Canis lupus familiaris: one gene and its partners. The protein of the gene in region 1 binds, or shares a complex with, the protein of each later gene. Links are inferred from orthologs where the notes say so. Each region holds a gene or a part of one and is shown in the gene's direction. Other genes may lie near its edges.

The links. The genes of interacting proteins can lie anywhere in the genome.
Region 2: the proteins of GLE1 (region 1) and DDX19B are in contact, whole or in part, in a crystal structure (PDB 6B4J), measured with the Homo sapiens proteins. The link is inferred for Canis lupus familiaris from reciprocal best matches to the Homo sapiens genes GLE1 and DDX19B. Residues at the interface, in NP_001003722.1 of Homo sapiens: Lys416, Lys419, Met420, Gln423, Lys424, Thr427, Ile428, Ser431, Gln432, Ile433, Ser434, Thr435, Ile436, Lys440, Gln458, Ser459, Gly460, Lys479, Lys483, Lys486, Gln487, Glu490, Glu491, Ser494, His495, Gln554, Gln562, Asn565; in NP_009173.1 of Homo sapiens: Cys325, Asn326, Tyr328, Gly329, Ala330, Ile331, Thr332, Ile333, Ala334, Glu356, Gly357, His358, Gln359, Arg378, Arg380, Glu381, Gly382, Lys383, Glu384, Lys385, Glu400, Gln401, Ser403, Phe433, Gly434, Lys435, Arg436, Asp469, Asp470, Leu471.
Region 3: the proteins of GLE1 (region 1) and NUP42 are in contact, whole or in part, in a crystal structure (PDB 6B4I), measured with the Homo sapiens proteins. The link is inferred for Canis lupus familiaris from reciprocal best matches to the Homo sapiens genes GLE1 and NUP42. Residues at the interface, in NP_001003722.1 of Homo sapiens: Ile385, Ile593, Leu598, Asn599, Trp602, Arg603, Ala606, Gln607, Leu609, Asn610, Gln636, Tyr637, Gln638, Val639, Gln640, Lys643, Met644, Ile646, Leu647, Glu650, Asp651, Tyr652; in NP_001357375.1 of Homo sapiens: Asp185, Asn186, Val187, Leu188, Phe189, Gln202, Phe203, Gln204, Ser205, Lys206, Lys207, Phe208, Leu210, Gly211, Lys212, Ile213, Pro214, Leu215, Lys216, Pro217, Pro218, Leu222, Leu223, Asn224, Val225.

What each region holds. Positions count from the first base shown.
Region 1 is NC_049230.1:55,113,850-55,116,455, reverse strand, and holds part of GLE1 (nucleoporin GLE1), read left to right. Parts: intron 1-79; coding exon 80-184; intron 185-1,379; coding exon 1,380-1,462; intron 1,463-1,880; exon of another isoform or gene 1,881-2,132; intron 2,133-2,179; coding exon 2,180-2,243; intron 2,244-2,606. UniProt on the Homo sapiens protein: Required for the export of mRNAs containing poly(A) tails from the nucleus into the cytoplasm. May be involved in the terminal step of the mRNA transport through the nuclear pore complex (NPC).
Region 2 is NC_049226.1:76,889,228-76,893,371, forward strand, and holds the start of DDX19B (ATP-dependent RNA helicase DDX19B), read left to right. Parts: upstream 1-1,344; 5' UTR 1,345-1,367; coding exon 1,368-1,541; intron 1,542-4,144. UniProt on the Homo sapiens protein: ATP-dependent RNA helicase involved in mRNA export from the nucleus.
Region 3 is NC_049235.1:36,944,648-36,948,702, forward strand, and holds the start of NUP42 (nucleoporin NUP42), read left to right. Parts: upstream 1-1,255; 5' UTR 1,256-1,355; coding exon 1,356-1,467; intron 1,468-1,616; exon of another isoform or gene 1,617-1,770; intron 1,771-1,776; exon of another isoform or gene 1,777-2,012; coding exon of another isoform or gene 2,013-2,066; intron 2,067-3,659; coding exon 3,660-3,888; intron 3,889-4,055.

The sequences.
Region 1 (2,606 bases):
TAATGGCTGGAGATTAACTTTGGGGGTTTAGATCCCTAGATCCAATGATCAAATCATGACCAAGTGTCTCCCCTCCCAGATTCATCCTCATGGCTTAAGTCATGGTTGGCGCTGGTTGGCACAAATCTTAAACATGGAGCCCCTGTCAGATGTGACAGCCACCCTCCTCTTTGACTTCTTGGAGGTAAGTAATGCAGTTATCACACGAGACAGTGGTTGAAGCAGCCTTTGGCCATGGTGTGACCTGAATCAGGAAGCAATATAGAGACAGGCTGATGGTGAACAGCATTAGGATTCAGTGTCACACATTTTTTTTTCCCAAATGCTAAAGACACACCTAGCTTTTGGTTTTTCTTCCTACTGTGCTTTCCTTCTCTGTGTGCTTGTCTTCTCATTGTAACAAAGAAAAAAACCGTACATTCCAGCACAAGCAAAAAGGGACGTTTGTTTTAGGGATAGAGAAGTGACTCCCAGAACCAAAGGCAGGATGTGTAGTTGACTCTCATGTGGGCCTGGAATCAGGAACTAGAATGTTACCAGGCACCAAGAGTCTCTCTGGGGCCACATAGTCCTTCCTGTGCCCTTCCTGTGCCCTTCCTGCAGGGATGCCTCATTCTTGCTCCATAGGCCAGCTTTCTCTGGTTCTCTGTGCACAGTGGAGCAGATAGTCATCCTGGGCTATAGCCCTCTGCCTCAGTGTGGTTGCCCAGTGTAGTGGGACTACCGTCCCATCTTTGTGATCCCTCATACCTGGCAGAGCAAATATGATCAGCCAGCTTGGGTCAGGTTTCTCCCTTATCCAGAAGATTCCTTATAGTTCTGTCTGCCTATGAGGGGCCACCACTATAGGGGTGACGGTAAGGGTTTCTGTGGAAAGGAGACATTTCTTAAAAATTAAAGCCCTGGTGCACATACTGTAATGGATGTGGGCCATTGAGCCTAGAATGCCAAACATTTCCATTCATCTTAGAGTTCCTGAAGTCACAGGATGTGAGCAGAGATCATGAATAAACTTGAGAACATGGTGATGTTCTATATGCTCTGCTTACTATGGTTGGGAGGAACACCATTACTTTAGAAAAGTTTCCATTCAGTAGAATCAAAGAATAATAATAAAGTTTGATTCATATTTTCTAGTTTGCTAAAATACTTGGTTTCTTGGTGGTTGATTTAATGGAGATATTGTCATATACAGAGAAATGCTTCAGAAAAAAGTTGGATCTTTCCATTTATTCCCTTGCTTAGGTAAGGTGCTAAGTGGTATTGTGGCTGAAATTCTTGGTAGGAGTGAAAAGCAAAGAGCCGATGTGCTTTACAGATCTCTGGCATGTGTATAAATGTGCATCCTCTGCTCTGACCATGCCTGTCCTTCCCTGTAGGTGTGTGGGAATGCCCTCATGAAGCAGTACCAGGTACAGTTCTGGAAGATGATCCTTCTCATCAAAGAAGACTACTTCCCCAGGTATGTGGCTTATTGAATAGACAGCATGGGATTCAGTGGGTGAAACATACAGTGTCAGATGCCCTTGGGTGCAGTTACATGCTGGGTTTGACTCAGCTAAATGCACCTATATCAAGTGTGACATCTCTCATCCTTCTCTTTGATTTTAGAATTGTAGTGAGAGTATCTTAAATACTATTAGCTAAATGAAAAAGCTAAATTAGGAAGATCCTGGATTCAGATACCTGACATTTAACTATTTTCCAAACTCCCTCAGCTGATCTGGAATGGTGACCACACGCAATCATGAATTAACCAAGGAGTTAAAACTCCCTTAATAAATCAGTTGGAAAAAAAATAAAATAAAATAAAATAAATCAGTTGGAGAAACTGATTTACAAACAAACCAGTTGGCTTGACCCATGGTGTTTGCCTTTAGGTGCCCTTCTCATTCCTTTCAACACACTGGCATTTCAGCCGAGGGAGAGGTTTTAGCAGCACCCATCCTGCCTGCCTGCAAAGACCTTGGAAAGGAATGTCCTCTGTTCTCCTTTATCTCCTGGTTTGAGTAGGCAGCTGAGATCATTTGGACGAATGACAGCATCCTGAGCCCAGAAGTCATCTCTTCGAGTCATTCCACCTAATCCTTCCTCTGGATCAGCAGCGTCCCGAACTCCTCTCCAGGAGGGAGGTAGGAATCACAGTTGTGATTTGTGTGTCTTCTTCCTCTCCCTGCAGGATTGAAGCCATCACAAGCTCAGGACAAATGGGTTCCTTCATACGCCTCAAGCAGTTCTTAGAGGTAATATGTCCTTAGACCAGCAAGTGCTGAGTTGTGGTTGACCTCGAGGGTGCCTGTGTCTGACAAGTCGTGGACTTCTGGGCTCAGATTGCATCTCTTCCTCTTGAGTTTGTAATTTGATTTATATAAGTCATCTCTACCTGATGTGGGGCTCAAACTCCCATCCCTGAGATCAAGAGTCACCTGCTCTTGCAACTGAGCCAGCCAGGTGCCCCTATCTTGACTTTTTTCAACCCTACTTTTTTTGCCTGTGATTTCCCTTTGCTGTCAGGGGTGGCATTTCATCCTCATGCACACCGCCGTCTATGCTGCCGGAGGGGAAGCTGTCCTAGGGGTGAATAAAGTATACTTAATGACTCTGGT
Region 2 (4,144 bases), on another chromosome or scaffold:
AGAGCCCCTCACTAGGAGCAGCTGTTAGCAGTTTTGTGTGTATCTCATACATTTTCTATAGTACCTACAAACACATGAGAGGTTTTTTTTTTTTTTTTTTTTATCTCCTCACAAGTGGATCCTACTATATACAGTATTGCACTTTGGATGATTTCCTTTTTAACCGCATTAAACTTAAAAAAAAAAAAAAGTCTTTAGCCTTCATTAGCCCTGTGATCAATATAACTTTGCTGGCAAGATATTCCCAGGGCTGCTTCCGATATGAGATGTAGGTCACGGCTTCCCTCACTGTGTGTTTGCCTTTTTCTTTTTGCACGTCCTTCCTGTAGGTTCCAAAAAATAAAAAAATCTTCACCAAATTAATTCCCTCAAGAGTACAGGAGAAAAAGAGCCATGGCAAATAAAGTATTGCCTGGAACTGCTTTACCTTTCCTGAACTTTCTTACTCATATTCTGAAGTAAAATCCCACATAGAGCCCACTACTGCTTAAAATTAATTTGCTGAAGAAAAGTGGCAAAGAGAAGTGAGGATTCATCTTCTCACCTTGCAGGAAAATGCCCAGCTTCTTATCAGTGAAGTAACAAGGGGAGAGAACCTTGTTTGTTTTCAGTTAGGGGATAGCGGGTGTCAGACATTATTATTTTACCTCTTCTAAAAATCCAAGGTATTTTTTTCCTTTTAAAAAAATTCCCCCAATCACACAACTCTTACATGGAAGCACTAGGGATTCCATTCCAGGCACAGCTAACTCCAAAAGTCCTGTCAGATTCGCGATGTTCCCTGGAATGAATTCATTTGCTCATTAAGCTGCTTTGCATGGCCCATTGCCTCTACCTCCAATCTCTTCATCTCTGGTTCTTGTCAATCCCCGCAGGAACTGTGTCCTTCAGACACAGGCCTCCTGGCCTTTTCTCTCCTCTCCCTGGAACACATTTCCCTAGCACCTTCCTTGAGTATTTTTGAAAGTGAAATTCCTGCAAGTCGTGTTGCCGACATAGTCTGCAGGACAAACTTTTAACCAAATGGTGCTTGACATGGCTGATTGCCAACCCCTGGGCATTGAAATGACTGTCCTGAAGAGAAAAAGATCGTCTCAATACGCATTTTGGTGACGCCTGTATTAGTAAAGGTCCTGTGTTTTGATAGATTGGCTCTCTATGAGCTTCTGTGCCAGCGCGCTCGTGGCCTGGAGGTCCAGTTGGCAGTCTGCGTCTCTGTTCACCAGGTAGACAGAGCTAAGCAAGGGTCAGCGCCGGGGGTCCGAAAGCGACGGAAGCTGCAGCTCCCGGGGGGCGAGGGGCGGCTGGGCGGGCGCAGATCCGACGTCACTGCGGCGCGCCGCTTCCGGTCCCCAGCTCCCGAGCGAATGACTGCTCCCTCGGTGGGGCGGGAGCTGGGCTTGCTGCGACGCCAGGGAGCCCACGATCGCGCCGCCCCAGCCAGCGAGTCTGCCAGCACCAGCGTCCCGCCGGCGCCTGGGACCATGGCCACCGACTCGTGGGCCCTGGCGGTGGACGAACAGGAGGCGGCGGCTGAGTCGGTGAGTTGGCTTCAGGCGTAAATGGGTCAGGGGGTCAGTTTTGGCCGGGGATCACCCTTGTGTAGGACACTCGCTGCTTTGGCCAGGACGGTATAGGATGCGTGTGAGGCTGGAGCCTGAACCTTGAGCTGGCTTTGTTTATCCATCCGCCTCCTGGGTTACATAAGAGCAGGTGAGTGCTCCCATGGATCTAGCGCCCAGCCGCCTGTCTTCTGGAATCCAGACTGATCGAGATTGCGCTCTCCCCACTTGGATTATAATCTCCCTGTGTCATTCCCTACCTCTGGATTGTGAGCTTCCTGAGCTCTGGGATTGTGGCTTACTCATCTTTGTGTGCTTCCTTACTTGCTTACTGATGATGAATGAACGACTCCATTGGCCCGGTAGTCAGTAAATCCTCTTCTCTGATCACCTTAATTTTGTTCTGGGCTTAGTACACAGTAAGCAAGATATGACTTAAACATGACTATGTGGAATTAACTCCTTCCACCTAAACACTTTGAACCTACTTCTGTTAGTACTTCTGTGAATTTCTTGAGAATAAGGACTCTTTCTTATTTTTTATACAACTGATAATAAATTATATGCACATAATTCAAAGAGTCAAGTAGTTTTGAAAACTGGTTCCACCACCACCAATTTTTCCTTCCCAGAGAAAAACTAATAGTTCTCTTGAAACGGATATACATCATTGACCTCCTTGTTCTCTAAATCACAGGGTTTTGCTAGTTCTTGAATTTTCAATTTTAGGTATTTACTGATTTTAATTCTTTCCTCCATCCTTTCTCCACCACACACGCACACCTTCCCATTCCTTACCTTTTCATTATATTGTAATTTTAGTTAGATCAGTATTTCATGTTTATCTTATTAGTAGCTTATGATACTTTTACTTTCCTATAAAGTTTTGTTTTTCCTTGGAATTTATAAAAAACACGCTTCATGGTTTTTTTTGTACTTATCACCAGTTCAACCTCAGGCACTTTGCTAATTGTTTAGTTTATCTCAGGATGTTCAGACAAATTAAGTATTCTATTAATTCGGGGGGCCTGGGTGGCTTAGTCAGTTAACCAACTGACTCTTGATTTCAGTTCAGGTCACAATCTTGAGGTGGTAAGATCCAGCCCCATGTGGGGGTCCGTGCTCAGTGTGTAGTTTGCTTAAGATTCTCTCTCTGGCCCCTCCCACTGTTTCATAAATAAACAAAAAAACTTATTATTTTTAAAGATTTTATTTCTTATTCATGAGAGATACAGGGAGAGAGGCAGAGACATAGGGAGAGGGAGAAGCAGTCTCCCCACGGGAGCCCAATGCAGGACCCGATCCCAGCACCCTGGGATCATGCTCAACTACTGAGCCACCCAGGCGTCCCTAGAATCTTTAATTTTTATTATTATTTTTTAAAGATTTTGTTTGTTTATTCATGAGAGACGGGGGAGGGAGGGTCGGTGCAGAGACACAAGCAGAGGGAGAAGCAGGCTCCATGCAGAGAGCCTGACATGGGACTCGATCCTGGGTCTCCAGGATCATGCCCTGGGCTGAAGGCAGTGCTAAACCACTGGGCCACCTCGGCTGCCTAAGAATTTATTTATTTATTTATTTATTTTTAGAATCTTTAATTTAAAAAAAAAAGTCTATTAATTCTATTTCCCCCAGGTCTTTTAGCCTACTTCATACTGGACTAGTTCTCCCTAGGTTTAGAGCAGAACTCATTTCAAGGACTGGAGAGGAACAAGACAGATTTCCCTTCACCTTCATTCTGAAGATTCACTCCTCTTCTCTTGTACTGGATCCCCTCCTTTCTGTATCCTCTCTTCATCTTTCTTGATTTTGTGCAACCATCCATCCAGCTTTCTGGAGTATATAAGAAGTTTTTTAAAGATAATATTGCATTTCTGGAAATAATTATTTTGCTCTATCATTTGGATAGTGGTATGGCTCGGTCTAGAGCTGCAGGTTGGGAATTAATTGCCTACCAAATTTTAAAGGCATTGTCTCATTGCCTTTTAGACTTCTTTATTGGTTATTGAGATGTCTGAGACCATTCTGATTCCTGATGTGACCTGTTTTCTCATTTGTAATCCATAAGAATCTTTTTTTTTTTTTTTTTTTTTTAATTTATGATAGGCACACAGTGAGAGAGAGAGAGAGAGGCAGAGACACAGGCAGAGGGAGAAGCAGGCTCCATGCACCGGGAGCCTGACGTGGGATTCGATCCCAGATCTCCAGGATCGCGCCCTGGGCCAAAGGCAGGCGCTAAACCGCTGCGCCACCCAGGGATCCCATAATCCATAAGAATCTTCTATTTGTTTCCAGTACACAGAAAACTCATGATAATGAGTCCTGGTATAGGTCTGTTTTCATCCACTTTGCTGGGCACTGGGTAGGTCCTTTCTTTTCTTTCAATTTTATTTTTAAGTAATCTCTACAACCAATGTGGAGCTCAAATCCACAACCCTGAGATCAAGAGTTGCATACTCTTCTGACTGAGCCAGCCAGGCATTCCTGGGTGGGTCCTTTCAATCTGGAAAATTCTTGTCCTTAAGTTATGAGAAATTTTCTTGAAAAATTTCATTATTGATTTCTCCTCCTCTGTTTTCTCT
Region 3 (4,055 bases), on another chromosome or scaffold:
TAAGCGAATTTTTTTTTTTTAATTTCTTAAGTAAGTTCTACACCCAGCGTGGATCCTGAACTCACCACCCTGAGATCAAGAGTTGCATGCTCTACTGCCTGAGCCAGCCAGGTGCCCCACATGGCTGTTTTCGTTTTTTAATAAACTAGGTCAGGGCACCTTGGTTGGCTCAGTCAGAAGGGCATGCAACTGGATCTCAGGATGGGGAGTTCCAGCCCCACCTGGGGCTTAGAGATTACTTAAATAAGAACTTTACATTTTAGCAGTTATTCCCAGTGCTCCTGTGGATTCCAGTGTATCCAAAATCCGAAGATGTGAGCAAGAACAATGACCAATCATCCTAAACCAGCAGGAACAAACCTGTGATCCACCAAAGTCCTATTTGTTGCCTCTGGGAAACCACAGAGACCGCGAACCAGAAGAACCCGTAGGGTGTCTCACCGTACAAAGGAAAAAAAAAAAAAAAAGACAACGAAGACTTGTGGGCATGAGCTTAGGTACCTAAGACTTGTGGGCATGAGCTTAGGTAAAATGATAAGCTCAAAGCAAAGCTGAGCTGTGGGTGAAGGCATCAACCTCGGATCTGGACTGAGAAGTGGAGGTAGGACCGTGTTTCCTCGGAAATTACCAATTCAAGAAAAATAAGGAATGCCCCCTTCAGGAACGCCGCCTGATCGGAAGCTCTGCACCTGGGCACAAGTCGAAGCTGCTTCCCGGTGTCCAAGTGACTTCGTTCCTCCGGCCGAGAGTGAGAATGTTTCATTCTCTTTGATACAATTTCAAACAGCAGCGCGCACCTGACCCTTAAAGAACTGGCTTTCTAAGAGCGTAAGAATTGCAGTGTTCATCCAAAGGTGGGGCTGTGAGGATACTTTTCAGTTGCAGTCTGCCCTTAAAGGAAACAGTTTTCCGTTTGCCCTCTAACCGGTGTTTCCTGTTTCCCGCCTGATGAGTGGCTGCGCAGATCTCTGCTTTCTCAACGGTGCAAACGAAATACACAACTCGGGTCTCTCAAGCCACAGCTATCCCTCCCCTCCAGGTCCCCGCTGAAGACCGCAGTTCCCTTAACTCGCTTCCCTATCACCTCGCACCCTCAAGCCGCCCTCGAAATCCGCAGCCACGCTAACTCTCGGAGCATTCAGCTTTCCCAAGCTCGACCCGAGGGCAGGGGCCGCCCCGCTCTTCTCAAACCCTATTGGGCAAAATCCACGCCTCTCATCCCGGGGCCGGGCAAGAGAGACGAAAGGGCGCGAGAAGATGACGTCACGGCAGCGGGGAGGGACCTTCGGTTGCTTCGGGCTCTCCGTCCGCTCTGGGTGCTGACAGAAGACCGTTCCGTGGGCGACGCCGTCGCAATGACCATTTGTCAGTTCTTCCTTCAAGGCCGGTGCCGCTTTGGAGACCGGTGCTGGAACGAACATCCCGGCGCCGGGGGTGCGGGCGGAGGACGGCAGCAACAGCCCTCAGGTGACGTTCTCCTCCATCCGCCGCCGCTAGCGGAGCGGGGGAAGGCCTGGCGCCAGGGCCGTCGGGCGGAGAACGGGCGTCCGGCGTGGGGCCCGCTCGGCGCAGCGCGGCGGCGGCGCAGCAGTCGAGTGACGCTGACGTGCCCGCGTCGTCCGGCCTTCGGCCCCGCCCCCCGGGCCCGGCGCAGGCTCTCCCCGGCGCCGCTACCCGCTGTGTGGGCGTCCCGCTGATTTCTGCCGTGGGGATGAAGACAGAGTCTTGGCCTTTGGTACTAATGCGAAACCATGAGTTTCTAAGTTGGAAGTACGTGTCGTAACTGCCTTGTCTGTGGGTGGTAAAGGTCCGGAGAACTGGTCTAGGTCGACCCAGACGCCGCCTCGCTTTACCTAAACCCCACCTTCTGGGTGCTTGTTGTTTTTTTCTTCACCCTTGACACTCTAAGTATAATTTTTACGAAACTTTTCCCGAGAGAGAGAGGCTCGCAGCTGGGGGCCAAAGTCTGGATTCTTGGCTTTGGGGAAGTCGCAGACTCCTTTGAACGTGTGATGTCAGCTACAAAGCTCTTGCTCTGGCGAATGTACGTGCTCGTAACATTGAAGGTAAAATCGGAAGAGTGTGTTGCCCCAGTTAAGAACTCTGGGCTGTGAGGGAAGGGGGTGTCGGAGGACCGTGTGGACCCACCTGCTGGGTCTGAGTCATCGTCAGAGGTTTTGGAGTATTTAAGCCAGTTGTGCATGATGCGGAAGGATTGTGCTCAAGGAGAGGAGGAACCAGAAATGAAACCAACACAAGGTTTTATTTGTTTGTTTGTTTGTTTATACAAAGTTTTAAAGGTCAGATGAACAGTCAGGTTTTTCTTTGTTTAGGATCGAAGCTTAAGTCCTTAAAGTTGTCACAAGATGCTGACCCCACTCTCTTCCCTTCCCTCTTTCAGGATTGTCCATCTGACCCATAATCTATGTTGCAGTGTGATTTCACCTCCGATGCCTCTTCTTGAAAGACAGTCGTTTTTGCATCACCCACACTTCACCTCGTGAAATGTTCCAAAGCAAATTTTTTTTTTTCTTTTTTTAGGATTTGGGGTCTGATCATTGTGCGTGTATTTCCTGGGAAGGGGCTGCTTAATACTTGGCACTCTATAGAGACTCACTCTAGACGTAGTAATTAGAAAATAAATATTGAATGGGATTGATGGATGAAGAAAGCATAGATAAAACTCATCAAGTAAACAGTATTTATCTCCCAGAAACGAATGTTCTATAATTAATCAGTGAAGGCCAAAAGCTATGAATTTCTTCAAAGGATTTGGAACTTAAGAAAAATAAAATACCATTGACCCTCACACGAGGGATCTGTTTTCTTGTTAGGTAGTTGTAGAGTTGGGAGATGAACTTTCATGAAGGAGTATATCTCCCATCATTCTAGTTCTTAATATAATCTAATGGAGTGTCTCCTAATTTAGTCAGAAACAAGGCAAATTATCTTGGCCCCAACTAGGGAGTGATGAGTAAATGAGGTAGTTTAAGTGATAAGATTTTTTTAAATAGAGAGGAGAGAGTCCTGTTGGCTCATTGTGATAATTATGAAATATTAGAATCTGCTCATAATAGAAGAACTGAGTGCATTTTATTCATGTGTAAATTACAATCTCTCTATGAAAGATAGGTGGGTAAGTGTTTTCCCTGAGAGAAGATTGAATCAACTAGATTTAAGCATCTATTCAAGGACAGAGGGTGGAATCTAATTTTTTATGTCCAGCAACTCTTTAATACATTGTCCATTTTTCAGCCTTTACTGCTATATAGGGCCTAGTGGGAAAGCAAAGAATGGTAAAGACAGCTTTTTATCCTGAAGGAGCTTATGACTTAGGTTACATCCTAAACCCACTATCAAGCAGTTGTTTACTTAATAAACTTATATCACTGAACTTAGTAATATATCATTATTTTTCGATGGGTTTACAGTCCTCTCAATCTTGTTAAACAAAAAATACCATTAGACCATTACTTGATTTGCTGGTTACAAGTAACTATATAAATCAAAAATGAAGAGTTTTGTGATTTAAAATGAGTGGAAGTATGGTGCTTGTTGAATCTTTGCATCATGTCTGCACATAATAAGACAATATAATGAAAATTTTTGAGACTTAAAAGAGAAGTTGCCAATAAAATTATTTTATCGTTTATTTTCAGGTAGTAACAGACGTGGATGGAATACCACCAGCCAAAGATATTCCAGCGTTATTCAGCCATCCAGCTTCTCCAAATCAACACCATGGGGGGGCAGCAGAGATCAAGAAAAGCCATCTTTTGGTTCCTTGGATTCTGGAGCTTCAACTAGCAGGAACAGGGGGTTTGGATTGTCCCAGAACCCATTTGCTTCACCCAGTTCTGATGGGCAGAAAGATGAAAAGAAACTTCTGTAAGTGAAAGTCTTTAGAAAAAATTACTACCCATTTGCTCTTTTTTCAAAAATACCTACAATATTTTCTTTAAGAAAAGTAATACATTATTAAAAAATCAGAATAAGCAAAGACAAGAAAAAGTACCCATGATCCTATCACTCAGAGAGAACCATTGTTTTGCATA